4 linked regions of the Pelodiscus sinensis genome follow. The protein of the gene in region 1 interacts with the protein of each later gene in a biochemical or structural test. Links are inferred from orthologs where the notes say so. Each region holds a gene or a part of one and is shown in the gene's direction. Other genes may lie near its edges.

Evidence for each region.
Region 2: of the proteins of UBA1 (region 1) and UBE2N, one has a biochemical effect on the other in vitro, tested with the Homo sapiens proteins (10 studies listed by BioGRID, with this or other methods). The link is inferred for Pelodiscus sinensis from reciprocal best matches to the Homo sapiens genes UBA1 and UBE2N.
Region 3: of the proteins of UBA1 (region 1) and ubiquitin-conjugating enzyme E2 E1, one has a biochemical effect on the other in vitro, tested with the Homo sapiens proteins (9 studies listed by BioGRID, with this or other methods). The link is inferred for Pelodiscus sinensis from reciprocal best matches to the Homo sapiens genes UBA1 and UBE2E1.
Region 4: of the proteins of UBA1 (region 1) and UBE2T, one has a biochemical effect on the other in vitro, tested with the Homo sapiens proteins (4 studies listed by BioGRID, with this or other methods). The link is inferred for Pelodiscus sinensis from reciprocal best matches to the Homo sapiens genes UBA1 and UBE2T.

The regions. Positions count from the first base shown.
Region 1 is NW_027465846.1:72,457-80,165, forward strand, and holds the start of UBA1 (ubiquitin-like modifier-activating enzyme 1), read left to right. Parts: upstream 1-4,702; 5' UTR 4,703-4,717; coding exon 4,718-4,744; intron 4,745-5,389; coding exon 5,390-5,484; intron 5,485-6,189; coding exon 6,190-6,321; intron 6,322-6,823; coding exon 6,824-6,898; intron 6,899-7,175; coding exon 7,176-7,314; intron 7,315-7,709. UniProt on the Homo sapiens protein: Catalyzes the first step in ubiquitin conjugation to mark cellular proteins for degradation through the ubiquitin-proteasome system.
Region 2 is NC_134711.1:79,917,245-79,924,770, reverse strand, and holds the start of UBE2N (ubiquitin-conjugating enzyme E2 N), read left to right. Parts: upstream 1-4,525; 5' UTR 4,526-4,653; coding exon 4,654-4,683; intron 4,684-4,949; exon of another isoform or gene 4,950-4,964; coding exon of another isoform or gene 4,965-4,976; intron 4,977-5,195; exon of another isoform or gene 5,196-5,213; intron 5,214-7,526. UniProt on the Homo sapiens protein: The UBE2V1-UBE2N and UBE2V2-UBE2N heterodimers catalyze the synthesis of non-canonical 'Lys-63'-linked polyubiquitin chains. This type of polyubiquitination does not lead to protein degradation by the proteasome.
Region 3 is NC_134712.1:189,268,454-189,276,300, reverse strand, and holds the start of ubiquitin-conjugating enzyme E2 E1, read left to right. Parts: upstream 1-4,832; 5' UTR 4,833-5,064; intron 5,065-5,253; exon of another isoform or gene 5,254-5,486; intron 5,487-7,847. UniProt on the Homo sapiens protein: Accepts ubiquitin from the E1 complex and catalyzes its covalent attachment to other proteins. Catalyzes the covalent attachment of ISG15 to other proteins. Mediates the selective degradation of short-lived and abnormal proteins.
Region 4 is NC_134737.1:14,427,874-14,435,304, reverse strand, and holds the start of UBE2T (ubiquitin-conjugating enzyme E2 T), read left to right. Parts: upstream 1-4,426; 5' UTR 4,427-4,584; intron 4,585-4,932; exon of another isoform or gene 4,933-5,256; intron 5,257-6,159; exon of another isoform or gene 6,160-6,232; intron 6,233-7,431. UniProt on the Homo sapiens protein: Accepts ubiquitin from the E1 complex and catalyzes its covalent attachment to other proteins. Catalyzes monoubiquitination. Involved in mitomycin-C (MMC)-induced DNA repair.

The DNA.
Region 1 (7,709 bases):
ACCCACTGCCCCCCCCATAACCAGCCCTGCCGGGCCCCTCCTGACCCACTGCCCCCCTATAACACAGCCCTGCCGGGCTCCTCCTGACCCACTGCCCCCCCATAACCAGCCCTGCTGGGCCCCTCCTGACCCACTGCCCCCCCCCCATAACCAGCCCTGCTGGGCTCCTCCTGACCCACTGCCCCCCCCCCCATAACCAGCCCTGCTGGGCCCCTCCTGACCCACTGCCCCCCCCCCATAACCAGCCCTGCCGGGCCCCTCCTGACCCACTGCCCCCCTATAACACAGCCCTGCCGGGCCCCTCGGTTCCCCCCGCGGTCCCTGCCAGCCCGGCCCTGGGCTCCCCGTCTCCCCCCCGCCCCGACTCTCTCCGCTCCCGCCCCGCTGCCCCCGACCTAGTTCTCTCCGCTCCGCCGAGCGCTCCGCCCCGCGCGGCTCCGGGCTGCGCTGGACTCGCTCCCCGGCGGCTCGGGGGAGGCAGGCGCAGCGCCCCGCGCTCCGGCCATGGGCCCCTGCGCCCGCGGGGCGCGGTGACCGGACCCAGGTAAGCCGGGGCGGGGCGGGGCGGGGCCAGGGGGGGCGGACGCCCGGGTTCGCTCCCTGCCTCCCGGGGAGTGAGGGCCAGTGGTTGGATCAGGGGGGCTGGGAGACCCCACGCCTGGCTTCCCTCCCGGTCTCCCAGGGGAGTGAGGGCCAGTGGTTAGAGCAGGGGGGCTGGGAGACCCCACGCCTGGCTTCCCTCCCGGTCTCCCAGGGGAGTGAGGGCCAGTGGTTAGAGCAGGGGGGCTGGGAGACCCCACGCCTGGCTTCCCTCCCGGTCTCCCAGGGGAGTGAGGGCCAGTGGTTGGAGCAGGGGAGCTGTGGTCCTGCATGCCTGGCTTCCCTCCCTGCCTTCCAGGGGAGTGGGGGCCAGTGGTTAGAGCTGGGGGGGGGGGGGCTACGAGCCCGGACGCCTGGCTTCCTTCCCTGCCTCCCAGGGGAGTGAGGGCCAGTGGTTGGAGCAGGGGAACTGTGGTCCTGCATGCCTGGGTTCGTTCCCTGCCTTCCAGGGGAATGGGGGCCAGTGGTTAGAGCTGGGGGGGGGCTAAGAGCCCAGACGCCTGGGCTCTCTCCTCGCCCCCCAAAGGAGCAGGGCTGTGGGCACATTTGGGGTGGGCTGTTGTGTGGGGCAGTCTGGGGCAGGTGAAGTTTGGCAAAGTTAAAAGTAGCTGAAGGTTGGCCCCGCCGAAGGGTGGCACTAGGGGGCGCTGTGCTTGGGGGTGTGGCAGGGGGCATTCTGGGGGGCTCCCATTGTGCTCCCTGCCATTGTCAGTTCTCAACCCCTCCCCAGGGTGTGTGTCCCCTGCTGGCGGGGCTGGGCCCCGTGCTGTGGGGTGTGCTGCTGGCTGCGGTGGTCTCACATCTGTTGTCTGGCTACAACGCTGAGTTGTGTGTGGCCTTGCACTTGGGCTGTGTGGTGTCTTCGTGCCCAGCTGGATTGTGTGTCTGTTCCTTGTTGCGTTTGTGTGGTTGCCGTGTGTTTGTTTCCATGTTCCGTGTGTGTCTGCGAGGCTGGGGTCTTTTGTGTATTACAGTGCGTGAATGCGGCTGTGTTGTATCTGTTGCACTGTGTGCTCCTGACTGTGGGGCATGCGTCACAGTGTGGTAGTGTGTGTCACAGCGTGAGCATACAGTTGTCTTGGTGTTGTAGGTATGTTGCAGTGTTTGTATGCAGGGTTGTGGTGTCAATCACAGTGTGTGTGTGCAGTAATGTATGCATCAAGGTGTGTGTGCAGTTGTGGGGTGTGTGTCAAAGTGAGTCTATGATGGCGGGTTGTGTGCATATGGATGGGGATTTCACAGTGTGTGGTTGTGGGGTGTGAGTGTTGCAGTGTATGCATGCAATTGTTTAGTATGTGAGTGTTGTGGTGTGTGAGGTTGTGGTGTGTTGCAGTCCATATGTAATTGTGATGTGCATGATTGTGTGGTGTGTTTGCAGTTGTGGTGTGTGTCTGTGTGCAAGCAATTGTGCGGTGCACATGTGTGCATGGTTGTGGTGCATATGTTATAGTGTGCATGCAGTTGTGGGCTGTGTGGTGCAGTGGGTGTACATTTGTGGAGTGTGTCACAGTGGGTGTGTAGGGTTGTGGGAGTTCTGTCCCAGTTTGGAGGAATTGTGGGGTCTATGGATGTGAGGTTGTGGAGTGTATGTGTGGTTGTGGGATGTGGGGTGCAGTGTGTGTGTGTGGTTGGGGTTTGTGGTTGTGGAGTGTGCGGGGGGGGCTGTGGGTCATGTGTCAGGGTGGGGAGATTGTGGGGTGTTGCAGTGTGTGTGTGGTTGTGCAGTTGTGAACTGTGTGTAATTGTGGAGTGTGTCAGTTTATGTGCAGTTCTGGGATGTGTATGGTGTATATGTCTGGGTTGTGTGTGGAATGTTGAAGCGTGTGGGGTTGTGAGGTATTTGTTATAGTGCAGTTTTCAGATATGTGCAGTTGTGGGTATGTGTGGTTGTGGGGTATTTGTCAGTGTGTGAGTGTTTGTGTGTTTGTGATGTGGTTGTGGGAGTGTCATGGGTGTGTGTGTGGTTATGCTGTGTGTGTAGTTGTGGGGCGTATGTCACAGTAGGTATATGGTTGCGGAGTGTGGGGAAGTTGTGTGGTGTGTGCCACTGTGTGTATGTGTGTTTGTGGGGAAGTGTCGCAGTGTGTAGTTGTGGGGTGTGTGTGCAGTGGGGTTAGGTATGGGGGTTTCATGGTGTGGGGGGCGGAGGTGTCACAGTGTTATAGTAGGTGGGTATCGGGGAGCGTGGGGGGAGTTGTAGTGTGTGTGTTGTGGGGGGTGCAGTGGTGTGGGGCATGGGGGGTTGTGGAGTGTATGTGCATGGTTGTGCAGGTTTGTGGGTTGTGTTGAGGGACGGGGGTGTTGCAGGAAGTGTCAGGTGATTGTGGGGTTTGTGTGCAGTTCTGTGGGCGTGAGGTTGTGGGGGGTGTCGGGGGGTGAGGTTGTGGGGGGTGCAGGAGGGGGGATGCTGGGTGTATGTGTGTGGAGGGGTGCTGTGTACCTGTCTGGGTTGCGTGTTGCAGTTGTTGGTTGTTGGCTGTTCCCTCCCATGCCCCCCCCCCCCCCCCGTTATCCCTCCCCACAGGTTACACCAGGTTCCGGCTCCTGTTGCCTTCAAGAGGCTGTAGCCAGGTTGCCATGGCAACAGCCAGGGTTCTTGGGGTTACCGGGGCGATAGGAGGGTTCTGGGTCCATCTGTCCAGTTGTCACCAATCGGCGCTTGGCGGGGGGCAGGCGGGGTCCTCCCAGCCCGGCCCTGGGCTCCCCGCCCTGCCGGTGCCCCTCACTCCCCACCCGCAGCCCCCCAGCCCGGCCCTGGGCTCCCCCCGCCCGCCGGTGCCCCTCGCTCCCCACCCGCAGCCCCCCAGCCCGGCCCTGGGCTCCCCCCGCCCGCCGGTGCCCCTCGCTCCCCACCTGCAGCCCCCCAGCCCGGCCCTGGGCTCCCCCCGCCCGCCGGTGCCCCTCGCTCCCCACCCGCAGCCCCCCAGCCCGGCCCTAGGCTCCCCGGCCGCCGGTGCCCCTCGCTCCCCACCGCAGCCCCCCAGCCCGGCCCTGGGCTCCCCCCGCCCGCCGGTGCCCCTCGCTCCCCACCCGCAGCCCCCCAGCCCGTCCCTAGGCTCCCCGCCCTGCCGGTGCCCCTCGCTCCCCACCCGCAGCCCCCCAGCCCGGCCCTGGGCTCCCCCCGCCCGCCGGTGCCCCTCGCTCCCCACCCGCAGCCCCCCAGCCCGGCCCTGGGCTCCCCCCGCCCGCCGGTGCCCCTCGCTCCCCACCCGCAGCCCCCCAGCCCGGCCCTGGGCTCCCCCCGCCCGCCGGTGCCCCTCGCTCCCCACCCGCAGCCCCCCAGCCCGGCCCTAGGCTCCCCGCCCGCCGGTGCCCCTCGCTCCCCACCCGCAGCCCCCCAGCCCGGCCCTGGGCTCCCCCCGCCCGCCGGTGCCCCTCGCTCCCCACCCGCAGCCCCCCAGCCCGGCCCTGGGCTCCCCCCGCCCGCCGGTGCCCCTCGCTCCCCACCCGCAGCCCCCCAGCCCGGCCCTGGGCTCCGCCCGCCCGCCGGTGCCCCTCGCTCCCCACCCGCAGCCCCCAGCCCGGCCCTGGGCTCCCCGCCCTGCCGGTGCCCCTCGCTCCCCACCCGCAGCCCCCCAGCCCGGCCCTGGCTCCCCCGCCCGCCGGTGCCCCTCGCTCCCCACCCGCAGCCCCCAGCCCGGCCCCTGGGCTCCCCCCGCCCGCCGGTGCCCCTCGCTCCCCCACCCGCAGCCCCCCAGCCCGGCCCTGGGCTCCCCCCGCCCGCCGGTGCCCCTCGCTCCCCACCCGCAGCCCCCCAGCCCGGCCCTGGGCTCCCCCCGCCCGCCGGTGCCCCTCGCTCCCCACCCGCAGCCCCCCAGCCTGTCCTAGGCTCCCCCCGCATGCTGGTGCCCCTCCCTCCCCACCTGCAGCCCCCCAGCCCGGCCCTGGGCTCCCCCCGCCCGCCGGTGCCCCTTGATCCCCACCCGCAGCCCCCGAGCCCGTCCTAGGCTCCCCCCGCATGCTGGTGCCCCTCCCTCCCCACCCGCAGCCCCCCAGCCCGGCCCTGGGCTCCCCCCGCCTGCCGGGGTATCAGACCCCAGGGGGCAGCTGCTGACCATTGGTTTCATGCCCGGGCTGGGAGCCAGGACTCCTGGGTTAGCCCCGATCTAAGGGGGCCATGAAGGACATCCCCCAGCCAGATCCTGTAAGGGGGGTTCAGGGCCCGGGCACTGCCAGCCCCAGCATAGAGGGGCTGGCTGGCGGAGCAGGGGGGCTGAGTGGCAGGGGAAGGAAGGGCTCAGCAGAGGGTCTGGCTGTGTCTCCCCAGGATGCCGTGGGGCTGGCTGGCGGAGCAGGGGGGCTGGGTGGCAGGGGAAGGAAGGGCCCAGCAGAGGGTCTGGCTGTGTCTCCCCCAGGATGCCGTGGGGCTGGGCTGGCGGAGCAGGGGGCTGGGCGGCAGGGGAAGGAAGGGCTCAGCAGGGGGTCTGGCTGTGTCTCCCCAGGATGCCGTGGGGCTGGCTGCGGAGCAGGGGGGCTGGGCGGCAGGGGAAGGAAGGGCTCAGCAGGGGGTCTGGCTGTGTCTCCCCAGGATGCCGTGGGGCTGGCTGGCGGAGCAGGGGGGCTGGGCGGCAGGGAAGGAAGGGCTCAGCAGGGGGTCTGGCTGTGTCTCCCCAGGATGCCGTGGGGCTGGCTGGCGGAGCAGGGGGGCTGGGCGGCAGGGGAAGGAAGGGCTCAGCAGGGGGTCTGGCTGTGTCCTCCCCAGGATGCCGTGGGGCTGGCTGGCGGAGCAGGGGGGCTGGGCGGCAGGGGGAAGGAAGGGCTCAGCAGGGGTCTGGCTGTGTCTCCCCAGGATGCCGTGGGGCTGCCTCCGGCTGCGGGAGGAGAAGAGCTACAGCAGCGTGGGCGACATCACGGACAAGTACGAGATCGGGAGCTGCTGAGCGTGTGAGTGTTTGGGGGCCCCTCCCCCCCCGCTGCCCCAGCCGCAGGGGCAATCGGTCGTTCTCTGCCTCAGTTTCCCAAGCAGGGGAGAGAGGCTGAGGGGGGAGGTGGATCGTTTTACCAGGCTCCAGGGGAGCCACCTGAAAGCAAAGGGGCCGCCCTCCCTCACTTTTCCCGGGAGCCTGGGGGGACAAGGCAGGAACCTGGACCCAGGGCCGGAGCAGGCCTTGGCGTGGCCCGGTGGGGAGGGGCACGTGGCTGGCCCAGCGGGTTGGCACTTGGGCGGCTGGGTGCTCGCTGGGACCCCCTAGGCCTGGCCCAGGCGCCGCGATGCCTGGAGAGGAATGCTGTCCCAGTCCGCCCAGCCTGTCCAGTTTCCCCAGGACTGGCTCCCCCAGCACCCCCATCTGTGGCCTGATCTTCTGTCCTGGGCGTGGCAGATTCCCATTGGGCCAGGCAGCTTGACTCCCCATTCCTCCCCCCAGGGTGAGTCACCCCAACATCCTGCAGCTCATCGACACCTTTGAGACGCGCAAGGAATTTTACATCATCCAGGAGCACAGCAGCCAGCAGGGGGAAACTGAGGCACGCGGCAGGCTGGGAAGGGTGGTTGCAGTTAGGATGACTGTGAGAACGGGTGGTGCTGGGGGTTGGGGGGCGGGGCTATGGGAGGGGGGGCTCTGTACGATCTCCCCCCTCCGCCCCCAGGAAGGAGTTTTGCGAGCTCTGCCTGGCCCGCGAGCGCCGGAGCGACCGGCTCGTCGTCTGCAAGCGGTTCCGGAAGCGGGACGGCAGGAAGGTTCGCCAGGCGGCCCGGAACGAGATCCTCATCCTGAAAATGTAGGTGCCCACGGACGCGAGGGCCCTGAGCGCCTTCGGCACCTCGCTTTCCTCCTCCTGAGCCCCCCTGGCAGCAAGGCAACGTACCAGGGGGAAACTGAGGCAGGCCTGACCTCACAAAATCCTCTTGAGGGTGCATATTTCTGGCCCTGCTGTGTCTTTCTGTTGGCCCCTGGTGTGTCCACCTGAGCTCCCTGGCCCTGCCGGGGGTGCCTGCTTCTTTGCGAGTGCCTCCAGCCAGTCTCTCCCCTTTGGTGCATGGAGGAGGGAAACTGAGGCAGGCCCCAGCGTCCTTGCGCTTGCTAGAATTGTCACGTGAGCATGAGCCTGCTGCCGTTGGCCGTGCTGAGCGGGGGGAGGGTGGGTCCCCGCGGGGGGGGGGGGGGTCCCTGCAGCAACGTGGGGCAGGCTGGAGGGGGGGGTGTCCCGGCTTGGGGGTGGGGTGGCACCGGCTCTGAGGGAAGCGGTACCGTGGGCTTGACTTTCCCTTCCCTCCCCCCAGGGTGAGTCACCCCAACATCCTGCAGCTCATCGACACCTTTGAGACGCGCAAGGAATTTTACATCATCCAGGAGCTGTGAGTAGGGGGGGCACCGCAGGGCTGGGGGGGAGGGGACCCTGGGGCCGTGGCTGGGGGGGGAGGGGAGCCTGGGGCCGTGGCTGGGGGGCGCCAGGGTTTGGGAAGGGGGGGTCGATCCTGCCCTTGCAGCAGAGGGAGCAAAGGGGGTACAGGCCGTGGGGACCCTGGAGTGGTCCGAGGGGCCATCCTGGGCGGGGGGGAGCAGGCTCCGTGGCTGGGAACGGGGGGTCTCCGGGCTCCCCCAGGCTAAGCCAGTGCGGCGCTGCCCCGGCAGGGCGACGGGCGGGGACGTCTTCGACTGGATCCTGGACCTGGGCTGCTACTCGGAGCGAGACGCCAGCAGCCTCGTCCGGCAGGTGCTGGAGGCCCTGGCCTACCTGCACGGCCTGCACATCGTGCACCGCAACCTCAAGGTCAGCTGCCCCCCAGCCCCGGGCCCCCCTCCAGCGCTGCCACCGGGGCCAGGCTAATCCCCTGCTCTGCCCACCAGGCCATGCTCCCCTCCCGGAGCCGGGGGGAGAACCCAGGCGCCCCGGCTCCCAGCCACTCGCCCCGGCTCCCAGCCCACTCGCCAGGGTTTTGGGAGGTTCGCTGGCTGGTTTCTTTAGCTCACATCCTCCCTCTGGTGGCCACTTCTGTGCTGTGCCCAGTAGGGTGGGGAGGGGAGGGGGCAAGCTGGCTGGGGGGGGGGGGGGGGGAGGAGCAGCTGGCTAATGTGGGGCAGACAGCCTGAGGAAGGAGGTGGCAGAGTTGTGGGGGGCTGACAGCGAAGGAGGCGCTGTGGGGCTGGCAGGGGAAGGGACGCTTT
Region 2 (7,526 bases), on another chromosome or scaffold:
TTTTTCTGCAAAAACGTTGCAGTCTAGACGTACCCTGAAAGGTAAGAAGCAGAGGGGTCTCTGCAGATGTCCTGAAGGATGGCCCAGGACACCTCTGGAGGGGATCAGTCTCACACCAATTCCAGCCCCACCTCTTTATGCGGGCCTCCCACAGTGACTGCAACCTCTCCTCCCTAGGACAGGCAGTCACCTCCTTGGTGGAGGGAAGAAAGGAATAGGGGGAAAAGAAGCAAGAGAAGGAGAGAGAGAAGGAAAGAGGAAAAGGGAAACCTAAAAGGATAAACCCCAATGTCCTCAGTGATTCTCTGGGACAGAGTCCTTGGTAGGAAATCAAATTATCTTAACTGAGTGACTGCTACACCTAGAATTCAGCTGGTATCAGGTGGATCAGACAGAACAGGTTTCAGACCTGTCTGAGGATCTTACCTTCTATACAGGGATTACAAAATCAGTAGTAGGAAAGGAGAAAACTCTGATGAGGTTCCTCTTCATGCTTATGTCAATTAATCCTAATTCTCTCTGTCCCCAAAGAGAGACTTTAAAAAGGAGCCTTGCTGCTTCAGAGCCATGGGTGTGTCTGAGGTTGTCCTGCCTTGCACCTCTGTCCTGCCTGGCTGATGTCAGGGTCTCTCTATGAGGTCACCATCTCCCCACCAGTTTTCCCCAATAGGCTGAGGTCCTGCAACAGGCCTTTGTGATATCACTGCTGCTCCCACCTGTCCCCTATAAGGCTGGTGTCCTGATCCTGGCCAGCCTCTTGGATGTTTGAATGGCTTCCCCTGAATCATCCCACAGCTGAGTCTGGGGATCAAGCCGACAGCATAGTAAAGCAACAGAGGCTGCTCTCTGTGGCACATACAGTTTTTCATTGATTAGTTGACTTTAAAAGGCCAGAAGGAACCATGAGAGCATCAAATCTGACCCCTGAATATCCCACCCATCCTATATATCCCAGTTGCTAAGTTTTGATCCAAGCACATACCAGAAAGGCACGCAGTCTTCATTAGAAGACATCTAGATATGGAGAATCCATCACTTACTTCAGTAGTTTGTTCCCATGGTGAAGCCTAATATTTGTGCCTTATTTCTAATATGAATGTATTTGGTTTCACCTTCCAGCCATTGGCCTTGAAAGTAGGAATAAGGGATCTTCCGGAAAAGGGCTTATTTTCTGCAAAATCCCGTCTAGACTGGTGCTTTTCTCCGGCAAAACCCCGAATCGGAAAAAAGCGGCAGCCATGTTCATGCAAATGCCGTGGGGGATATTTAAATCCCCCGCGACATTTATAATTCCGAAGTGTCTCATTAGCATCCCTTTTCCGGAAAGGGGTGCCAATGGAGACACAGCCTTCTGGAAAAGCTTCTTCTGAAAGAAGCCTGCAGTCTAGACATAGCCCCTATGTCACTGCCCTGATCTCAGTCTTATTTATCTCTCTGGTAGTATTTTGTCACCCACACGTTACCAGCAGTGATTTTATACTGACTTCCAGTTCATTGATAATTATTTAAACGATTAATTCTCGAGAGCCTCTTCAGAGCCTACTACCAAGTACCTGCTCCTTACAGCTAAGCAGGAAAAGGCCTTCCAGCCCTGATCTTACATAGGAGCTAAGCACAGAACATATGCTTAGGCTCTGAACAAAAAGTGGGGATCAACAGCTTACAAATGCACTATTGGCCCCAATTGTGTGTCAGGGTATGTCTACACTGCGATCAGCACCCCCACCTGCACAGCCGTCAATGACTGTAACGTCATCATCGGGCGCACGGACCAGCGGTGCTCTAGGCAACTGCCTAGTTTGCCTAGGCTCATGGGCCGCCCCTGCTCATGGTCACAAAGCCAGGAAAATGACCGGTTTGATTGACATCTTGGTCCCTAGCTCTCATTATCCTGGCCTCTCGGCTCTAACTTTAGTCTCGGCCAAACTATAGGTTTTCTTCCTGCATAAAACAGATTTTGTGTAGCCATCTGGCTCAAATGCATGTGGATGCTTCAAAACAGTGTGCTCTGGTGAAGTCACATATTCTGGGGTTGATGGAGGGACCACATAGTTGGTGTAGGAAAGGAATTTTCTCATGTGTCAGATTTACAGAGGGAGTGGAAAGTGGGGCAATGTTGCCTTCCTCTGCAGAATGGGGCCTGGGTCACGTGCTGGTTTCAATTAGTGTAAATGGTGTATTCTCCATAACTTGTAGTCTTTTAATCATGATTTGAGTAATTTAGCCAGTGATTGTAGACTGTAACAGAGTCAGGATGGAGGAAGTTCTGTGAACTGCAGCCAGCAGGGGGTCAGACCAGATGATCATGATGGTCCCTTCTACCCTTAGGCTACGTCTACACTGGCCCCTTTTCCGGAAGGGGCATGTAAATTTCACTAGTCGTCGTAGGGAAATCCGCGGGGGATTTAAATATCCCCCGCGGCATTTAAATAAAAATGTCCGCCGCTTTTTTCCGGCTTTTAAAAAAGCCGGAAAAGAGCGTCTAGACTGGCCCCGATCCTCCGGAAAAAGTGCCCTTTTCCGGAGGCTCTTATTCTTACTTCAAAGTAAGAATAAGAGCCTCCGGAAAAGGGCACTTTTTCCGGAGGATCGGGGCCAGTCTAGACGCTCTTTTCCGGCTTTTTTAAAAGCCGGAAAAAAGCGGCGGACATTTTTATTTAAATGCCGCGGGGGATATTTAAATCCCCCGCGGATTTCCCTACGACGACTAGTGAAATTTACATGCCCCTTCCGGAAAAGGGGCCAGTGTAGATGTAGCCTTAAAGTCTAAATCTGACACCTGCCTTTTACCTTACCCTGGATCTCGGACTGCTACTACTCTGACTAATAGGCATGACCGACCAGCCTAGGAATGTAAGGGTATGTCTAGACAATGGCACTTTTTCATGATACAGCAGTTATTCTGAAATAGCGTTTTCCATGTCTTAACAGCATGCTTGTTATTTAGAAATGTAGTCAAAATAACGGGCTTGATATTCTGACGTCCTGGTAAACCTCGTTCCACGAGGCTTAAGGGACTTGTCATAATAGCAGTCTATTTCGGAATTTGGCCCTGTATAAACAGCACTACATCTCAAAATAAGCTGGAACTAAGCTACACAATTTGCGTAGCTCAAATTGTGTAGCTTATTTTGAGCTAGCACAACTGTGTAGACGCACCCTCAGTGGGCTTTGTTTGAGGAGGTGGTGTTATACCAACAGAAACACTCTGTGCATATAAGCTGCATCTAAAGAAGGGGGCTCTGCTGCTGTAGCCATGTGAACATAAGTTTTGTAGTGTAGCTGCACCATCAACTTTAATGTAAAACGTATTTCAAGATCTTGCCGCCTATCTACACTGGCCGTGAGTATTTGCACAAGAACACCGACGTTGTAATGTACAAAATCAATGCTTCTTGCGCAAATACTCTGCTGCTCCCGCTCATGGATAAGCCCTTTTGCTCAAGTATTCTTGCTCAAGAGGCCAGTGTAGACAGGCAACGTTAATTTCTTGCGCAAGAAAGCCCGATGGCAAAAATGGCCATCGGAGCTTTCTTGCGCAAGAGAGCGTCTACACTGGCACGGATGCTTTTGCACAAAAGCACATGCCAGTGTAGACACTCTCTTGCGCAAATACTTTTAACGGAAATTTTTTTCTGTTAAAAGTATTTGCGCAAAATCATGCCAGTGTAGATAGGATACTAGATGGACCTTTGGCTATTCTGTTTCAGCTCTCCTCCCTCATTAATCCTCTTTGTGGCGCTGCTCAGGGAGGGGGCAGGACTTGAGGAAAGGGTGGAGCATGACTGGTGACTGCAGGGTGGGAGAGGCCAGGGCCAGATTATCCATTAGGCACAACAGGCACAGTGCCTAGGGCCTACGACAAAGTTTAGGGCCTACGAAAATTCATAATGGACTTGAAAATAAGAAAACTGAAAAATCAAATATTACAATTGTAACGGCAACATCTTCTTACTTCCCTGATCAGATGATTAACTGCCGGGTGCATCCTAGGTATCATTGTAATATACATCAAAATGGCTGCGATTTTAGCATGAAGTATCATGAATTGCTCACAAGGTGCAGCACTTTCAGGAGCAAAAACTGAAGTGGGCAATATTAGGCATCTATGCACCAGGCATTTCTCCCATATCTATTTAGAATCCAATTGAAAGCCTATAATTATGAGTGGCCTAGGGCCTACTAACCTTAATCCAGGCCTGTCCCTGGCTCCACACCTGGGACGCTGAGGCACGTGCGCGCCCCCCCAGGGCGAGCCCTGTGGAGCTGCGTCTAGGGCGGGTGCCATGGCGAGCACGCGCGGGCGTTTGACCGCAGCCTCGCCTCGCTGGGCAGGTGTCTGGGGCGTGGCAGGGCGTGAGGCGGGCGGGGTGCGGGGCGGCTGCGGGCGGGGGTCGGGGGCCGAGACCAGAGGCAGCGCTGGGGGCTTTAGGCGGGTCGGTCTGGGGGCCGGGCGGTACCGCACGCGCCTGGTTACGGCGACGGCCCCTGAGCGTCAACTCTCGCGCCTCCCCGCAGCCGCGACTACGCTTCCCAGAAGGCTGTAAGTCGCGGCGTGACGTCATCGGAAGGGAGCGCTCGGGTTCCTTCCGGTTGTGCGCGAGTGTCGAGCGGAGCCGAGACCCAGCGGCGCTTGAATCCCGATAAGACAAGATGGCCGGGCTGCCCCGCAGGATCATCAAGGTAACCGCCACCCCTCCCCCACTGCCCCTGTGCCGGGGCGCGGAGCGCGGAGCTTCCCGTGAGCGGGGCGCGGCGCGGGGAGGCGGGCGCTGCCGACCACGGGAGCCCGGGCAGGCCCTGCCGGGCTGGGAGCGGCGCGGGAGCGGGCGGGGCCTTGGCCCGCGGAGCCGCCATTGGCCCCCCGCCCCCGGGGCTGCGTGACCGAGCGAGGCGCGGAGGCCCCTGCGGCTGCGGTGGCGGCGAGGCCCGGGCGGGGTTTGGGCGCCGCCGCGGCGCGGGGAATGAATGGACAGGTGAGGCCGCGGCCTGGGCGCCGTCTCTGGCCGGGGAGCGGCGTTAGCCGCGAGCCCCGTATCCGCCTGCCGGGGCCGCCCCGGACTTGGTGCCTCTGGCACGCCCGTGACAGCGGCAACGAGGGAAATGCGGCACCAGGCTGCTTACCGCGGCGTGCACCAAACCCTGCTCCCACCCGCCTTCTGCAGGGAGAGATTGTGACACACCCACCTACTCACCCACTGTTGGAGCCCATCTTCAGCCTCGCAGTCGGGGTGCCTAGTCTGCGCTAGTCACGGTTTGTGAATCTTTTGATGACTCAGGACTGACGGTCTGAGGAAGTGAGGTTACGCCAATTCTGATGACTGTCCCAAATAGGAATTAACAGGTTGAGGTGACTGTCAAGTATGTGTTTTGCTTGAATTTTAACTTTAAAAAAAAAATAACTTCCAGCAAGTTTGCTCTTTATGTATTTCTATTTTAACACTTAGAAATAGGGCTGAAATTATTTTGCTCGTAGATGCTTCTTCCTAATTAGATGGCAATTTGTAGGTAGTGAGGAAGAAAATTCTACAATGAATTTCTCTATGCGTTTAGTGTAGTAAACAAGAATTCAGAGTAGTCTTGAAACTGGACATTAAATGGAGATGTAAGAACAATAAAGACCTCTTGATTTCTGGATATTTGGGGGGTGTGGGTATATGTAAATAGAATATTGTAGATATTGTAAGTATGGATCTTTCAGTAGTTATATATTTAAGTATGTGTTAATGATCAAGTAGTGTGTTAATGATCAAGTTCTTAGTTTGTAACTACATTCTTAGAGTGCAGTGTGAATCCAACAAACTTCATAGATAGTACTAATTTGATGCTTGCTGAAATATGTAGTAATATTCTTACTTTACCACTTTGTTTAGTTCAAGCCACTGAGTGCCCTAACTGAATCTGACACTTCTTTTTATATCAACTTACATGAATATTAAAGCAGACTACCCAAATACGTATAGCTGTGAAATCCTACAATAAAAAATTAACAGTGCAGCATAACATTGATCTGATATACCTGTGTCCTCTTGTTAGTACAAAATAAATACCTTTCGATAACTCCCAACTCGTACAGTTTAAAGATTAGTCTGAATTCCTACAGTATCTGTAACTCCGACTTTTAAGAAGTCATGTGATGAATAGTTCTATGAAAGTAACTTACCTTATTTGAGTAAGGTTTATTAGGTTTGGATGGAAATAACATGATTGTTTCCTGTTACACTGAATGAAAGTCAGACAAATAACTTATAATGCTTTGAAGCTGTTCTTGGCTGAACACACTGAAAGTTTGCATCCAGTGCAAACAGTGAAGGACAGGAAAATATGCAAGTTAATATGTCTTAAAATGAAATTATATGAACTCGTTGGGATAACAAAATGAGAATTAAAAAGAAGAAACATTCCACTAAAACTTTGTAAGAGAATTAAACCTATAAACTTTATTACCTTTTTCTTAATGTTTACAAGCCACATTGAGAATTTTAAGGACAAAATTATATTAATGGAATTCAGTTACATAGTTCTCTCAAAGTACAGCAAACTGGAAATGTGACTGAAATGAGCAAAGGTAGACTATTACCCTTTAAATATTAAATTAATATTTCATTTAAATTTTGAAATTGACAACCTTTAACCTTGTTGTTATAGAGTAATCATACTATTTTTTGTTTATATTTGTAGTAGGGATGTAAAATCCCTTTTAATTAGTTAACTGATTAAATGGAGGAGGGTGGGGACTGCTCTGGACTGCTGAAGCAGCCCCCTGCCCAGGGTGGGCTACTCTAGCTCCTGTTGGTTATTAGTTATGATTAACAGCTTCTCCCGGTCAGTGCTAGTAATCTTCAGAACGTGACACAAGTGCAGCTTTAATACAATGCTTTTATGTACACCAGTTAATTATTTTATTTGAAACTTATTTTAGTGATTTACATAGATATAGTGATTGCTTAGGCCTCATCTAAACACAGATTGTACATTTTTAACTAAATCATTGTCTAAATATACTTGATTAATATGATTCAGCCCCCTTTTTTGGGCACTCTTGAGTGCTTTATATTGACTAACTTTTTAGCCATTTTAAGGGTGCCCATTTGGGGTTACACTGATTTAACTGATCTAGTTGCTAAATTAGTCTGTCTAAATCAATTCCAGTTTTATGGGCAAAAAAAGCCATACTATATATATCTTTTATTGGATATTTCAAATATATACAGGCAGTCCCCGAGTTACGCGGATCCGACTTATGTCGGATCCGCAGTTACGAACGGGGTTTGCTGCCTGTCTCCCTGGTCTGCTGGAAACCAGCAGACCAGGGAGACGGGAAGCAAAGCCTCTGAGGACGCCGGCAGCGGGACAGCCGCGGCGCGTCTGGGCTGTCCGCTGCCCGTGTGCTCCGCGGCTTTGCTCCAAGTCTCCCCAGACCAGGGAGACGGGGAGCAAAGCTGAGGAGCACGCGGGCAGCGGACAGCCCAGACGCGCCGCGGCTGTCCCGCTGCCGGCATCCTCAGAGGCTTTGCTCCCCGTCT
Region 3 (7,847 bases), on another chromosome or scaffold:
ACCATTGGGTATAGATGGTGAGTGCTAAATTCTACCAAATGGCCTTCGCTACATGGCGTAGATGAGTTACAAAACATTATATCTCTGCCGCATAGGTGGCATCGGCATCCACAGGCAACTGAGATTCAGCTGGTCCAAACACTTTTAACAAAGTCAATGATTTTCCTTATCCAGCCAAGCCTTCATTTATTAATTTAACATTTTGGTCATAAGTAAGGCCTTGTTAAAATAACTGTCAAAGACAAGCCCACCTCTAGTGCCATCTCCAGGTCAACTGTTCCTGTATGACATGACATATTCTCTGGAGAGAGTAAACTGTCCATGAATAATTTTACATTGGAAATTAAAAGAAGGTTTTTAACCATCAGAAGCATGGATAGTGGTGGGAGGGGGACTAATTAGTATTAAGATAAAGTTAGATACATTTTTTAGTGGAATTGTTTGATGGAGTTGCTTTGGAGTCCTTTCTGGTTCCTGTCCTAAAATGTCATGCTTCAAGGCTTCAGCTAGTCACCTGAAGGGGTAAAGAAGGAATACATTTTCACCCAAAATATTCCGGGTGGGGTTTTTTATGGCCATGGCCATGGCCATGGATGGGATCAGCTGATACTCTGAGGTAGTACTGAGAATTCTCCTTCTCAGCTGCTGAGTTGATGAGTCTGGTTCACATGTACAGGGACAAACTAGTTCAAGGTCAGGAACAAATTTTCCTCAGATTATGTAGGCTGTAACCTTAGGGGGTTTTTTCACCTGCCATTGGAGGATGAAGTACAGTACAATAAAGGTCATTTGCTAGGATCTCAATCAATTCCATGCCATTATAGAGGCCTTGGGCACTAGTGGCACTTTGGCCCTAATGTCCTAAGGGCTATAATACTTTTGTCTGATTCTGTTTGTTGGGCTTGGTGTGGATGTGGTGAGATTCTCTCTAAGCTAGATGATCTGATGGTCCCTTCTGATCTTAACGTGTACGACTGTACAACTGTCAGGGAAAATTCAACTTTTCTTTATGCTGGAGTCTCAGAGAGGCAGGATTCCGTGGGTTTGAGAGTAGAGTTGAGTGAACAAAGCAGCAATGGGATATTATGAGATGTACATGTCATAAAATGGCTCTTTGTGAAGATTTAACCTGAGATCACCAATACCACAGACCCTATTGTTTGAGCTAAGAGAAGAGTTATTTTGTCTGTGAGATAGTACTATGGAACTGACGGAGCCAGCCGTGACTAGAGAGTGATGTGACCACATGCATCATCCTGTTTTACATGCCCTCCTGTGAGATACGTTTCTGATGAGCAGGGCTTGACAAACCCCGGCAAGAGCCACTTGCCAGCCCCACACTGCGCAGGTGCCAGACCGGCACTGCGCATGCGCGAAGCACCAGTGAATGTGGCGCTCGGAGCGACCGGCTGAAATCTACTTGCCACGGGCAAGTAGATGCAGCGGTTTGTCGAGCCCTGCTGATGAGAATCTGAGATCCACAAAAACAAAAGTTCCATATGGAGAGCCATTTTGGAGGAAATTGTAAATTCATACACAATGGAGAACATCTTTGTTTCAGGATGCTCTTTAGCTTTTGATACTGAAATTCCAGGACTCAGTCCTCAGTGACAGCTATGGCGAGTGTCTAAATATGCAGCCATGAAGTGTTACAGAAGGTAATTTGATTAAAACATGAGACTGGAAGTCTATTTTTTAGAATTACTGAACATCAATAGGGTTATCAGGAAGGCGAAAGTACAATCAGAATTGCAACTGGCAAGGATGTGAAGGATAACAAGAAGGCTGTGTCTAGACTGGCAAGTTTTTCCGCAAAATCATCTGCTTTTGCGGAAAAACTTGCCAGCTGTCTACACTGGCCGCTTGAATTTCTGCAAAAGCACTGACGATCTCATGTAAGATTGTCAGTGCTTTTGCAGAAATATTGTGCTGCTCCCGTTCGGGCAAAAGTCTTTTTCCTAAAAACTTTTCCGCAAAAATGGCGATTGGGGCTTTTTTGCGGAAAAGCGCGTCTAGATTGGCCACGGACGCTTTTCCGCAAAAAGTGCTTTTGCGGAAAAGCATCCTGCCAATCTAGACATGCTTTTCCGAAAATGCTTTTAACGGAAAACTTTTCCGTTAAAAGCATTTCCGGAAAATCGTGCCAGTGTAGACGTAGCCAAAAGGTTTCTATAGGCATGGTAACAAGAAGAAGGTGATCAGAGGATGTGGGGTCCCTACTGGATGAAGGAGGTAACCTAGTGACAGATGATGTGGAGAAAGCTGAAGTACTCAATGCTTTCTTTGCCTCTATATTCACGGACAAGGTCGGCTCCCGGACTAATGCGCTAAGTGACACAAGATGGGATGAAGATGGACAGCCCTTGGTGGATAAAGAACAGGTTAGGAACTATTTAGAAAAGCTAAATGTACACAAATCCATGGGTCCGGACTTAATGCATCCGAGGGTAATGAGGGAGCCTTTGGCCATTATCTTTGAAAAGTCGTGGAGATCGGGAGAGATCCCGAATGATTGGAAAAAAGCAAATGTAGTGCCCATCTTCAAAAAAGGGAAGAAGGACGATCCAGGGAACTATAGGCCGGACAGTCTTACCTCGGTTCCTGGAAAAATCATGAAAGGGATCCTTAAAGAATCCATTTTGAGGCATTTGGAAGAGAGGAAAGTGATCAGGCATAGTCAGCATGGATTCACAAAGGGCAATTCATGTCTGACCAATCTGATTAACTTCTATGATAAGGTAACTGGCTCTGTGGATATGGGAAAGTCAGTGGGTGTGATATATCTTGACTTTAGCAAGGCTTTTGATACGGTCTCCCACAATATTCTTGCCAGCAAGCTAAGGGAATGTGGATTGGATAAATGACAGTAAGATGGATAAAAAGATGGCTAGAAGGCCAGGCCCAGCGGGTAGTGATCAACGGCTCGATGGCGGTCGGTTTCTAGCGGAGTGCCCCAAGGTTCAGTTCTAGGACCAGTTTTGTTCAATATCTTTATTAATGACCTGGATGAGGGGATGGATTGCACCCTCAGCAACTTTGAAGATGACATGAAGCTAGAGGGAGAGGTAGAGACGCTTGAGGGCAGAGATGGGGTCCAGAGTGACTTAGACAAATTGGAGGATCGGGCCACAAGAAATCTGATGAGGTTCAATTAGGACAAGTGCAGAGTCCTGCACTTGGGACGGAAGAATCCCAAGCATTGTTACAGGCTGGGGACCAACCAGCTAAGTAGTAGTTCTGCAGAAAAGGACCTGGGGGTTACAGTGGATGAGAAGCTGGATATGAGTCAACAGTGTGCCCTTGTAGTCAAGAAGGCTAATGGCATATTAGGGTGCAATAGGAGGAGCATTGCCAGCAGATCCAGAGAAGTGATTATTCCTCTTTATTTGGCTCTGGTGAGGCCACATCTGGAGTATTGTGTCCAGTTTTGGGCCCCCCACTGTGAAAAGGATGTGGATGCATTGGAGAGGGTCCAGCAGAGGGCAACCAAAATGATTAGGGGGCTGGAACATATGACCTTTGAGGAGAGGCTGAGGGAGTTGGGTCTGCTTAGTCTGCAGAAATGAAGAGTAAGGGGGGATTTGATAGCAGCCTTCAACTTCCTGAAGGGAGGTTCCAAAGAGGATAGAAAGGGGCTGTTCTCAGTAGTGACAGATGACAGAACAAGGAGCAATGGTCTCAAGTTGTGGTGGGAGTGGTCCAGGTTGGATATTAGGAAAAACTATTTCACTAGGAGAGTGGTGAAGCACTGGAATGGATTACCTAGGGAAGTAGTGGAGTCTCCATCCCTAGAGGTGTTTAAGTCTTGGCTTGACAAAACCCTGGCTGGGTTGATTTAGTTGGGATTGGTCCTGCCTAGAGCAGGAGTCTGGACTTGATGACCTTCTGAGGTCTCTTCCAGCTCTATGATAGTATGATACTATGATCCAAACTCAATGGGAAGTCAAGAGAGCTGCAAGTGTTGAGCATCCCAGAAAATCCTGGGAGACTAGACAGATGGGTTTTGATTTACAAAACATAGATTGGTGGGAATAATCATACCCATCATACTTGATAGGTGTGTTGTGCAGTTGTAATCATTTGTTTGTAGATTGCTTTGAGATCCTCCATTGCAAGGAAGGATAGAAATCATAGAACACTAGGACTGGAAGGGACCTTGAGAGGTCATCGAGTCCAGTCCTCTGCCCTCATGGCAGGACCAAATACTGTCTAGACCATCCCTGATAGACATTTATCTAACCTACTCTTAAATATCTCCAGAAATGCAAAGTAATACTAATGATTATGATGCACAGTGGTGATTTCATTTTCCTGCCTACTACACTATATCACATAGTTATTGTCTGGTCATCTCTTGATATACATTTGGAAACTAAAAGCACTGAACCACATTCAGCGGTTATATTAACCTGCTGAAGTCAACGGGGGAGGAAGAAGGGACAGAAATAAATCTGGTGCAGCGTTTCCATTTAGATCTATGGCACTATGCCTTGGCCCATAGAAAAGTGACTGACTGCTGTCTTCTTACCATGGGAGAAGTACAGTGAATCACTCTTGAAGTCAGTGTTATTTTTTCTTAGGGCTGTGCAGGTAGCAAAAAGATCATCTGCAAAGGCTTTGCAGGGGGAGAAGAAGGAGACAGGGGGGAGAAGAAGGAGAGAGGGGGGAGAAGAAGCCACTGGAGATGCAGCATCATCTGGCCCAACTTTATTTAATGCGGTGCCCCAGCTGGGAGGCTCCCCCTTTGCGGATCCTGTTCCATTCCCAAATCCAACCTGCTTTTCCTTCCTGTAGCTGGCCAGCCTGCTGCCGTCTCTCCGCAGGAGCTGCTGACATCACAAGCGGCCCTTCCTTTTGTGTGGCGCTGCGCGCGCGGGGGGCTGCGTGGGGACAATGGAAGCCTGAACCCGGGGCGCGGGCAAGGGGGAAGCAGCTGCTGCGGCGGCCGAGGATGAGTCAAGGCTGAGCGAGGGGAGGGGAGAAGCGGCTGCTGCGTGCGGGCCGGGACAGGTGAGAGACGGGGAGGAAGCTGCTGCCGCTGCCGCTGCCCTAGGACTGAGCCAGGTGAGAAGTTGCGGCGGCGGGAGGGATCAGGCCGGGGGGAGCTGCGGCTTTGGGGCCGAACCAGGGGGGGGAATGGGCAGGCGCCCGGCTCAGCCTTCGGGCAGCCCCAGCTGCTCCCAGTGCCCCCTAAGACCGGGGCAGGGAGCGGAGCCCCGCGGCTCGTTATTTCTCCCTCTCCGCGCTCACACACTCGCCTCGGCAGGCGCAGGAGCCTCCCTCCGCGGCCCCCGCGCCGCCTGCCCCCTGGGGGTGAGGGCAGCCTGCTCCGGCAGCCCCGGCTCGCCGAGGGGCCGGGGAGGAGCGGGGCAGCCATTGCCTGGGTAAGAGTTGCTGTTGCAGCACTTCCGCTTCTCTCCCAGCGAGAGACACGAGTGGCCAGGCCCAGCCGCGCCGCGGAGCAGCCGCCAGACACAAAGGGAGAGGTACGGAGCGGGGCCCCCTGCCCGCAGCCCGCACCCCCCGGCCGGGCCCCGGCCGCAGCGCGACACTCGGGCCGGGGCCGGGGCCGGGCCGGGTTGGCAGGGATCCCCCCGTCCCCGCAGGGCCCGCGCCCGGGCCCCAGTCTCGCTATCAGGGAGCTGAGCAGCGCTGTCCTGGAGGTGTGCCCCGTGCACGCCCTGCCCCCCGCATCCCTTCTCCCCCCGGCTCTGCCCCCCGCATCCCTTCTGCCCCCCAGCCTTTCTCCCCGTCACTGCCCTCCCGAGAGTGCCCCCCGGCACTGCCACCCCCGCATCCCTTCTCTCTCCCCCCGCATTGTCCCCCTTTGGGAGTGCCCCCCCGCATCCCTTCTCTCCGCCCCCCCCCACCCGCACTATCCTTCACATCCCATCTCCCCTTCGTCTCCATTGCCTCCCCACATCCCTTTTCCCTGCCGACCACTGCCTCCACCCACATGTCTTCCCCCCTCCCACGCTTCCCCCCACATCAGCACTGTCCCCTCCTTCCTCATCCCTTCCCCCCTGAGTCTGCTCCCCCCCCATCTCTTCCCTCTCCGCATCACTGCCCCCTTTCCTCCTCCCCTCCCCCCAAACCGACACTGCCCTCCCCCCATCCCTTCCCCCCTGGCACTGCTCTCTTTTCCTTCCCAGTATTGCTCCCCCTTCCTACATCCCTTCCCCCTCTTCCTCCCAGCACTGCCTCCTCACCCCCTCCATCCCTTCTCTCTCTTCCCAGCATCCCTCCCCCATCCTCATGCCATTCCCACATCCCTACTGTCCCTCTCCACATCCCCCCATACTTCCTCCCTGCACCCCCCCCCACACTTCCTCCCCGCATCCCTCCTCCCTATCTCCCTGGCATTGCCCCCTCTCATACCTTCCCTGCCCCAGCACTATTCCTCCCCTACATGCTTCCCCTCATGCACTTGCTGCCCTCCTCTATTCCTTCACCCTGGGCCTGCTCTTTGCCATGTATTCCACCTTCCTTAAGACTCCTCCAGCCCTCCCTCCTGCATTGCCTCTCACTGTCCCTCCCCTATGCACATGCTGCTGCTCCCCCCCCCCCAGCACTTCCCCCTCAACCCTCCTCCATCCTGGGCCTGCTCTCCTTCCCCATTCTTTCCCCCAACCCTGGGCTTACTCTTCCCTCCACTCAAGGCCTTCTCTCCCTCCTCCATTCCTTCTTCCTCCATCCCTCCTCCCCTCTCCTGGGCCTGCTCAACCCCAGCCTTCATTCCAGCACTACCTTCCCTCACATCCCTCCCCCATGCACATGCTGCCCCCCCTGCTGCTCCTCCCCTGGAACTGCCTCCCCTGATCCCTTGTCCTAGCCCTGCTCTCCCCTCTCTCTCCTCCTATGTACCCACTGCTCCCTAGCACTGCCCCCCACATCCCTTCTCTCCCTCCCTGCCACTCTCCCTTCCCGCCACTGCTCTCCCTTATCCCTCCCCCTTGTGCACGCACTGCCCTCCCCCCCATCTCCGTTCCTCCTCCCCCAGCTCTCCTCCCTCATCCTTCCCATGCACATACTGTCTGTTCCCTCTGGCCCTGTCTCCCCACACACCCTCCCATCAGCATCCCTTCCCACCTCTGCACTGTTCTCCCCCTGCATCCCTTCCCCTGGCACTGCTTTCCACATCACTTCCCCCCTACTGCACATACTATCTCACCCCCCCCCAGCACTACCCTTCGCATTCCTTCTCCTGGCCCTGCTCTCCCCCATCATCTCCCCTCCCCTGTATTTCTTCCCTCCCTGCTACACTATACCTGGCCCTGTTCTTCCCCATTCCTTCACGCTGATCCTCCCTGTCTCTCCTGTACTCCTCCCCCCAGCACTGCTCCCATTCTTCTGTCCCCCTGCACTGCTCCCCCTTCCCTTCACACAGTCCCCATCCCTTTCCACTTGCACTGCCCCTTCCCCATTCCTTCCTCCCTCCTTCCTGAGCACTGGTTCCTCCTGCCCTTCCCCCCTTCATTCCACCACCTCAGGCACTGCTCCCCCCCATCTCTAGCCCCCCAGTAGGCACTGATTTCCACTTTCCCCTACACATACCCCATCTTCTTTGCCTTGTGTGGGCACTGATCTTCTACCTATACCCAGACATTCATACCTCAACAGGCAGTAACCTCCCACCCGTGCCTGTCCCTCCCCCTTGCAAGCACTGACCTCTCCCCCTCACACCTTGCAGGCACTGATCTCCCTCCTCTTCTGCTGCAGGCACTCATCTCCTCTCCCCTCATCCCCTGCAGGCACTGATCTTCTCTGCTGTCCTTCCTCCTACTCCTTACCCCCTGCAGGCCGTGATCACCCCCACTTACCGCCTGCAGTCCATGATTTCCCTCTCT
Region 4 (7,431 bases), on another chromosome or scaffold:
AGGGTTTGCCTACTGGGGTAAATGATACCAGAATAAGGTCAGGTGTGAATTCAAAGTGCTGTAGTTAGACTGTACTGATGGAGCCCCTCAGGTGGACACTTATTCTGGTTTAAGATTAACTGGCGACGTCTAGACTGGCATGATTTTCTGGAAATGCTTTGAACGGAAAAGTTTTCCGCTAAAAGCATTTTCGGAAAAGAGCGTCTAGATTGGCACGGATGCTTTTCCGCAAAAGCACTTTTTGCGGGAAAGCATCCATGGCCAATCTAGACGCGCTTTTGCACAAAAAAGACTCGATCGCCATTTTCACAATTGGGGGTTTTTTGCGCAAAACAAATCTCAGCTGTCTACACTGGCCCTTTTGCGCAAAAGTTTTGCACAAAAGGGACTTTTGCCCGAACGGGAGCAGCGTAGTATTTCCGCAAAAAGCACTGATTTCTTACAGTAGGAAGTCAGTGCTTTTGTGGAAATTCAAGCGGCCAGTGTAGACAGCTGGCAAGTTTTTCTGGAAAAACAGCTGATTTTCCGGAAAAACTTGCCAGTCTAGACATAGCCTTTGGGTTTAGCTTTTATCCCCTGCCAAAATGACAAGCAAAACAGAAAAAGGCACTCTTAACTGGAGCAAGTGTCCACATGCGAAACTATTGGCGTAATTACCGCACTGCAAATTCACACCCTGTCTTACACTCATGTAACTTCCCTATGTAGGGAAACCCTAAGAAGCATGCTTTATAATTTGTTCTGAGGTTTTGGTTTGGACTTTTGATGACCTGGTTTCATTATTAAGCTATTTAACTGGATTCAAATGATAAATTGGATTGATTTTGATTAAATTGTTGAGTCAATAAACACGGTTTCCCACTTAGAACTTACTTTTGGTACTAATCTGTTGATATAATTCCAGTCCATGGTTGCAACTAACTTCAGGCATGACTTGTTGATTTGATGGAGGTATTTAGCGCTAATAATGATAGCTTAGTGCCAGTGATAATTTCTTCTCATTTTTAAATCTTAAATTAAAAGTTTTCACCTACTACATATGTAGTGTGTGTGTGTCCAGTTTTCTGAGTCTGTTCAAGAACTCCTTGTAAATGATAAGAGCTAATACCACCAAATCTGGTGTGCAGCTTCCTCTTATCATAACGTAAAGCAAGGCACTAGGACAATGGGATTTGCCTGGAATACAATTGTTTCTCATAAAAACACACAGGGAGAAATCTGCTAGCAAGTATAGTTATACTGCAGAATGATCACAGGGGGGCAGGCGCATGGGTGCAAGAGTGGCTAGCTAGGGGCAGTGCTCAGGATGATGCTGGCCAGCCCCAGGTAGCCGCTGGCCAGGCACCATGCTACCACAAAACTCAGACAGTTCCGGGGAACTGCTGGCTGGGGATTGGACAGCCTTCTGCACACTGTACCCCAGCCCTGACACCCACCACCTCCTAACCCCCTGCCCTGACTCCTGCACCCCTACACCTCTGCCCTGAGCCCCTCTTTACCCAAGCAATGCTGGGTAAATGTGTTAGTATGATTTATTAAAAAAAACAACAACAACCCTGGTACTGATTGCTTTCAATAAGCAACACTGGCCCAGAACCTTTAAGGGCCAAAGGTGGATACCAGCCTGTTGGATTAAAAGTCAGACTAGAGCCCCATGGTAAGTCTGTGGTTCTCCCAAAATGCATTGGGTGGCTGAAGAATGAGGGGGTAGCAGGCCTAGGGCCTGTAGTGCTGTCCCACAGTGCTCGGTGGTGGATGAAATAGAGATTGGCACATATCGGGTTCACTGCAAAGGGGGATAGGGCAGGGACAGAGAGGGTGTCAGTCCCCTCTCTGATGGAGGGGTCAGCCTGTTTCAGTGCAGTAAGGATCACAGTAACATCATTATCACTATATTGAATATAGAGGCAGACTGGATGGGAGCAGGGTTCCCCCTAAAAATCTGCAAATATCCCATGGCCACAAGCCTGGCCCAGCAAAAAAGACTGTCATTTCCTGATTTACTTGCAGATAGTTTCATGTTATTTACCTCCTTCCTGGTGATCCTTGGCCCTTCCCAGAATCAGCCGTTGTCTCCTTCCTGGGGATCTTCAGGAGATTTGCTGGGATCAGCCCTAGCTCCTTCCTAAGGATCTCTACGTTATGCCAGCTTCCTTATATAACAATAAGATAAAGAATGGGGTCATCAGGCAGAATTTAGGTCACTACAGCTCTGCTGGCAAAGACTGCGATTGTGATTATACAATTTCATGTAACTGATCCAACCAGAGGGAGGAACCTTTAGACAGGCTTAGAACTTCAGGGCAGAATCCACAGGCAAAAGAAACTGCAGCCTCTTCTCTATAACAGCTGGTATAGCTGTATGTATTTTGATGGATTTTAAGATATTTAATGCATTCAGGGCAAACTTCAGTTATTAAAGAGCTGAATGGATCCTAAGGCTGGCAGCATGAGTAGTGAAGAAGTCGGTTATCTTACAATGAAGTACTCTAGTGATCAGGTTTGGGTTATTTAACTGCTCTACTATGATGTCATATTGGTGCTTTTGGGGGAAGGGGAATTTCAGAGCAAAATTACTGAAAAATTGTGAGATCTATTTTATAATACATTTCATAATAGCTCCCACACAACATTTTTCACTATTTTTTTACATGCTATTTTTCTATACTCAAATGTAATTGACATTTTCAAAAGCTTGTACAGGTTGCACAAGAGTGAGTGGCCCTGGTGCAGTTATTGCGTTAGGAGAGCCATGCCTTCGGACACAGCTAAGGGTCAGTCACTAGTTCTCACACTGCAGTGGCTGACCCCTTGTGGCCCCATCAGCAGAACGGTAGCTCCTCTGACACCCTCAGGGCCAGGGGGGCAATAGTGGCTGCTGAGGCCCACAGGGTGGGGTAAGCAGGTCGAGAAGCAGGGACCGATGATCAGTGCTCCCAGAGGGGTGGGGAAAGCATCACTGGGGTTTCTCGACAGCAGGAAAGCAATGGGCAGCTGCCAGTTTCTTATGAAAAGTTGGTGTTAGTGTGTGTGTGCTGTGTTAGTGTGTGTGTGTGTACACGTGTTGTGTTTGTGTGTGTGTGTTCTGTGTTAGTGTGTGTGCACGCAGGTGCTGTGTGTGTGCGCGTGCTGTGTTAGTGTGTGTGTGTGCTGTGTTAGTGTGTGTGTGTATATGCACGCAGGTGCTGTGTGTGTGCGTGTGCTGTGTTTGTGTGTGCGTGTGCTGTGTTAGTGTGTGTGTGTGTGTGCACGCAGGTGCTGTGTGTGTCCGTGTGCTGTGTTTGTGTGTGTGTATGTGCTGTGTTGGTTTGTGTGTGTGCTGTGTTTGTGTGTGCGTGTGCTGTGTTAGTGTGTGTGTGTGTGTGCGCATGCAGGTGCTTTGTGTGTCCGTGTGCTGTGTTTGTGTGTGTGTGCTGTGTTGGTGTGTGCGTGTGCTGTGTTGGTGTGTGTGTTGTGTGCTGTGTCGGTGTATGTGCTGTGTTGGTGTGTGTGTGTCTGCGCTGTGTGTGTGTGTGCTGTGTCGGTGTATGTGCTGTGTTTGTGTATGTGTGTGTGTGTGTGTGTGTGTGCTGTGTTGGTGTGTATGTGTGTGTGTGTGCTGTGTCGGTGTATGTGCTGTGTTTGTGTATGTGTGTGTGCTGTGTTGGTGTGTGTGTGTGTGTGTGTGTGTTGGTGTATGTGTGTGTGCTGTGTTGGTGTATGTGTGTGTGCTGTGTTGGTGTGTGTGTGTTGGTGTGTGTGTGTGTGTGGGTGTGTGTGTGTGTGTGGGTGTGTGTGTGTGGGTGTGTGTGTGTGTGTGTTGGTGTATGTGTGTGTATGTGTGTGTGTGTGGGTGTGCTGTGTGTGTATGTGTGTGTGTGTTGGTGTGTGTGTGTTGGTGTGTTGGTGTGTGTGTGTGTATGTGTGGGTGTGCTGTGTGTGTATGTGTGTGTGTGTTGGTGTGTGTGTGTTGGTGTGTTGGTGTGTGTGTGTGTGTGTTGGTGTGTGTGTGTGTGTGTGTATGTGTGGGTGTGCTGTGTGTGTATGTGTGTGTGTGTTGGTGTGTGTGTGTTGGTGTGTTGGTGTGTGTGTGTGTGTGTTGGTGTGTGTGTGTGTGTGTTGGTGTGTGTGTGTGTGTGGGTGTGTGTCTGCAAAAACAAGGCGGAGCCCCAGCCCCTCGGTGCCCCAGTAGCTCTGGCGGTGTGCACGTGCACTGTCTGGGGGGGCTGTATCCCCAGCGGGGTTACACCCCCCCCCGCACTGGGTTCGACTCTCTCCGCCTGCCCGGGCTGGCCTGGCGGGTCTCGTAACTCCCTCACTCCCCCCACCCCTGTGGGGGCGGGGCCCAGGGCGACTCCTCCAATCCCAGCCCGCCTCTCTTCCTGGCTCCTAAGATTCGAAGTCGCTGGGCGGAGCCTTGGGCTCCTCTCGGCCAATCAGCCCCGCGCTCCCCGCAGATCGGCACCTCAGCAGAGCTACCCGGAGTCAGCCTGCCTGGTTGCTAGGCGCCCCCGGAAGTCCCGCCTCGTGGTTTGGCCCCGCGCCGGCCCGTGTTGCCCTCGAGCCCGCCCGTCGTTTGGCTGCAGCGGCGCCCTGAGGCTGCGGGTGAGAGGAGGCGGGGTCCGCCTCGCGCCCTGAGGCCCCGCCCCCAGCTGCGTAGGGCGCCCGGGGGGGGGGTGATCCCCGTGGGGGGAGTGACGCGGGGGGAGAAGAGGGTGATCCCCGTGGGGGGAGTGACGCGGGGGGGGGGAGAGGGTGATCCCCGTGGGGGGAAGTGACGCGGGGGAGAGAGTGGCCCACGTGGGGGGAGTGACACGGGGGAGGGGGACAGAGGGGAGAGGGTGATCCCCATGGGAGGAGTGATGCGGGGGGGGGGAGAGAGTGGCCCCCCCCTTGGTAGGTGCGGCTGGGGGAGCAGTCCGTACTCTTTACCCTTTCTACAGGACCGAGACATATTTTCTGTTGGACTTTATTGTCCTGGTAACACAAGTGACAACGCTGCCTGCGAAGCTCTCGGGCTTTCTGCAGGCTGGTGCTGTGCAGAGCCTGGGTGTTTTGCAGCCCTGTCGCTTAGTTTGTCAGCATTAGCTTTGCTGATTGATCAGGAAACCAGGCTCCTTGGTGTTACTGACTAGCCTGGGAAGATTTCCTTCTTCACAAGCTGTTTTGCAAGAGGTGCACCAATGGCCCCTTTTGTAACTTCAATAAGTAGTAAAAGTTTGACCCACAAACATCAGGAACTGCCTTCAGGTTGTGGAGATGCTGTTTCTTCATCAGGTAGTTAGTTGTATTTGTGCTTTGAGCTGTTCAAATGTAGATACAGTTCAGCAACTGAACCTTCAGATGATATGTTGGTACATTCCTGATTCTTGGTATATTCTTCATCATGGTTATTTTTTGAGGTCTGTGAGTGGAAACGTTGTTGAATTGCTTTTTGTCTTTTCATTTTGACTTTGACCTGCAACATATGAAATAGGAATGAATGTGACATTACCCATTATCTGTGTCCAGCTCAGTTTTTGAACCTTTCACGCTGCCTTCACTGTGAGAACAACCATTCTGATCTGTTCATAAAAAAACCTCCAGCAATGTAGCTTGCTTCCAGCTATACAGTATAAGTGTTATAGATGGTCACTTACGAATTACACTGCAGAAGAACACCAACAAAGTCTCCAGTCCCAGACTCTGCCACCCCTTCCTCCCCCTCCCCCCAAATATACATCTCGTATAGCCCAGCACTCCACTGGACAATTCAAGCTCTTATAAAGTCCATCATTTCATAAATAGAAAGTGATATGCACAAACCCTGTATCTCAAGTGGAGATTCCCCCCAAAATATCCAAACATGCTGGTTTAGATAAAATAATAAAACAAGCTTAATAACCACAAAAATAAAGATTTTAAGTGATTACAAGTCACGAGGCATAAAAGTCAGAATTTATTACAAAATGCAAGAGGCAAAACACAGCTAATTAACGTAACAGGCTAAGTGAATTCAAAGTAAAATGTCTCTCACCACATGCTTTTGCAGTCTTGCAGGCTAGAATCCTTTCAGCCAACCTGCCTTCCACTCCAGTTCAGTGTTCCTTCAATTGTTTCTGATGCTGTGAGCAAATAGAAAAGGAAAAGTGTTTTGGACCGTCTCTCCTCATTTCTTATAGTTCTGTTTTCTCTTTGAAGATCATCTCTAGCTGGGATTCAGGTGACAGAAGGTCTGGAGGACAGAAACCTCCAGTGATGTTGCTGTCAATAGGTATAGCTCCCACTCAGACCTTTCTTCCTGGCAAAGAATGGATGATAAACCAGATAACAGTCAATTCGATGTTGTTGACACTTGATTGAAGTTAGGGATGTAATAGTGTAGCCGATTAACCGATAAGCTTTTGCTTATCGGTTATGCTATAGACTACACACATCCCTGCCCCCGCCCACCATAATTTTTAGCAGGCTGCCCAGCAGCCCGGCTCAGTACTGGCTTGCTCACTAATAGGGGAAGTAGAGGTGGGTGACAACCTGGGAAGCAGTGATCATGAGATGGTAGATTTCAGGATCCTGACCAAAGGAAGAAAAGAGAGTAGTAACATATGCACCTTGGACGTCAGAAAAGCAGACTTTGACTCCCTCAGAGACCTGATGGGCAAAATCCCCTGGGATGCTAAGATGAAGGGGAAAGGAGTCCACGACAGCTGGCAGTATTTTAAAGAAGCCTTATTGAAGGCACAGAAAGAAACCATCCCGATGCGTAGCAAGAGAAGCAAACATGGTAGGAGACCAGATTGGCTTACAGGGGAAATCCTCGGTGAACTTAAGCACAAAAAGGGAGCTTACAAAAAGTGGAAACTTGGACAAATGACCAGGGAGAGCTATACATGTATAGCTCGAGAATGCCGGGGGGGTATCAGGAAGGTGAAAGCACAATTGGAATTGCGGCTGGCAAAGGATGTGAAGGATAACAAGAAAACATGCCTGTAGAAACCTAACACAAAGAGGGTGATCAGAGAGGGTGTGGGGCCCCTACTAGATGAGGGAGGTAACCTAGTGACAGATGATGTGGGGAAAGCTGAAGTACTCAATGCTTTCTTTGCCTCTGTATTCACGGACAAGGTCAGCTCCCATACTAATGCGCTAAGTGGCGCAAGATGGGATGAAGATGGACAGCCCTTGATGGGTAAAGAACAGGTTAGGAACTATTTAGAAAAGCTAAACATACACACATCCATGGGTCCGGACTTAATGCATCCGAGGGTACAGAGGGAGTTGGCAAATGTCATTGAGGAGCCTTTGGCTGTTACCTTTGAAAAGTCATGGAGATCAGGAGAGATCCCGGATGATTGTAGTGCCCATCTTCAAAAAAGGGAAGAAGGACAATCCAGGGAACCATAGGCCAGTCAGTCTTACCTCAGTCCCTGGAAAAATCATGGAAAGGATCCTTAAGGAATCCATTTTGAGGCA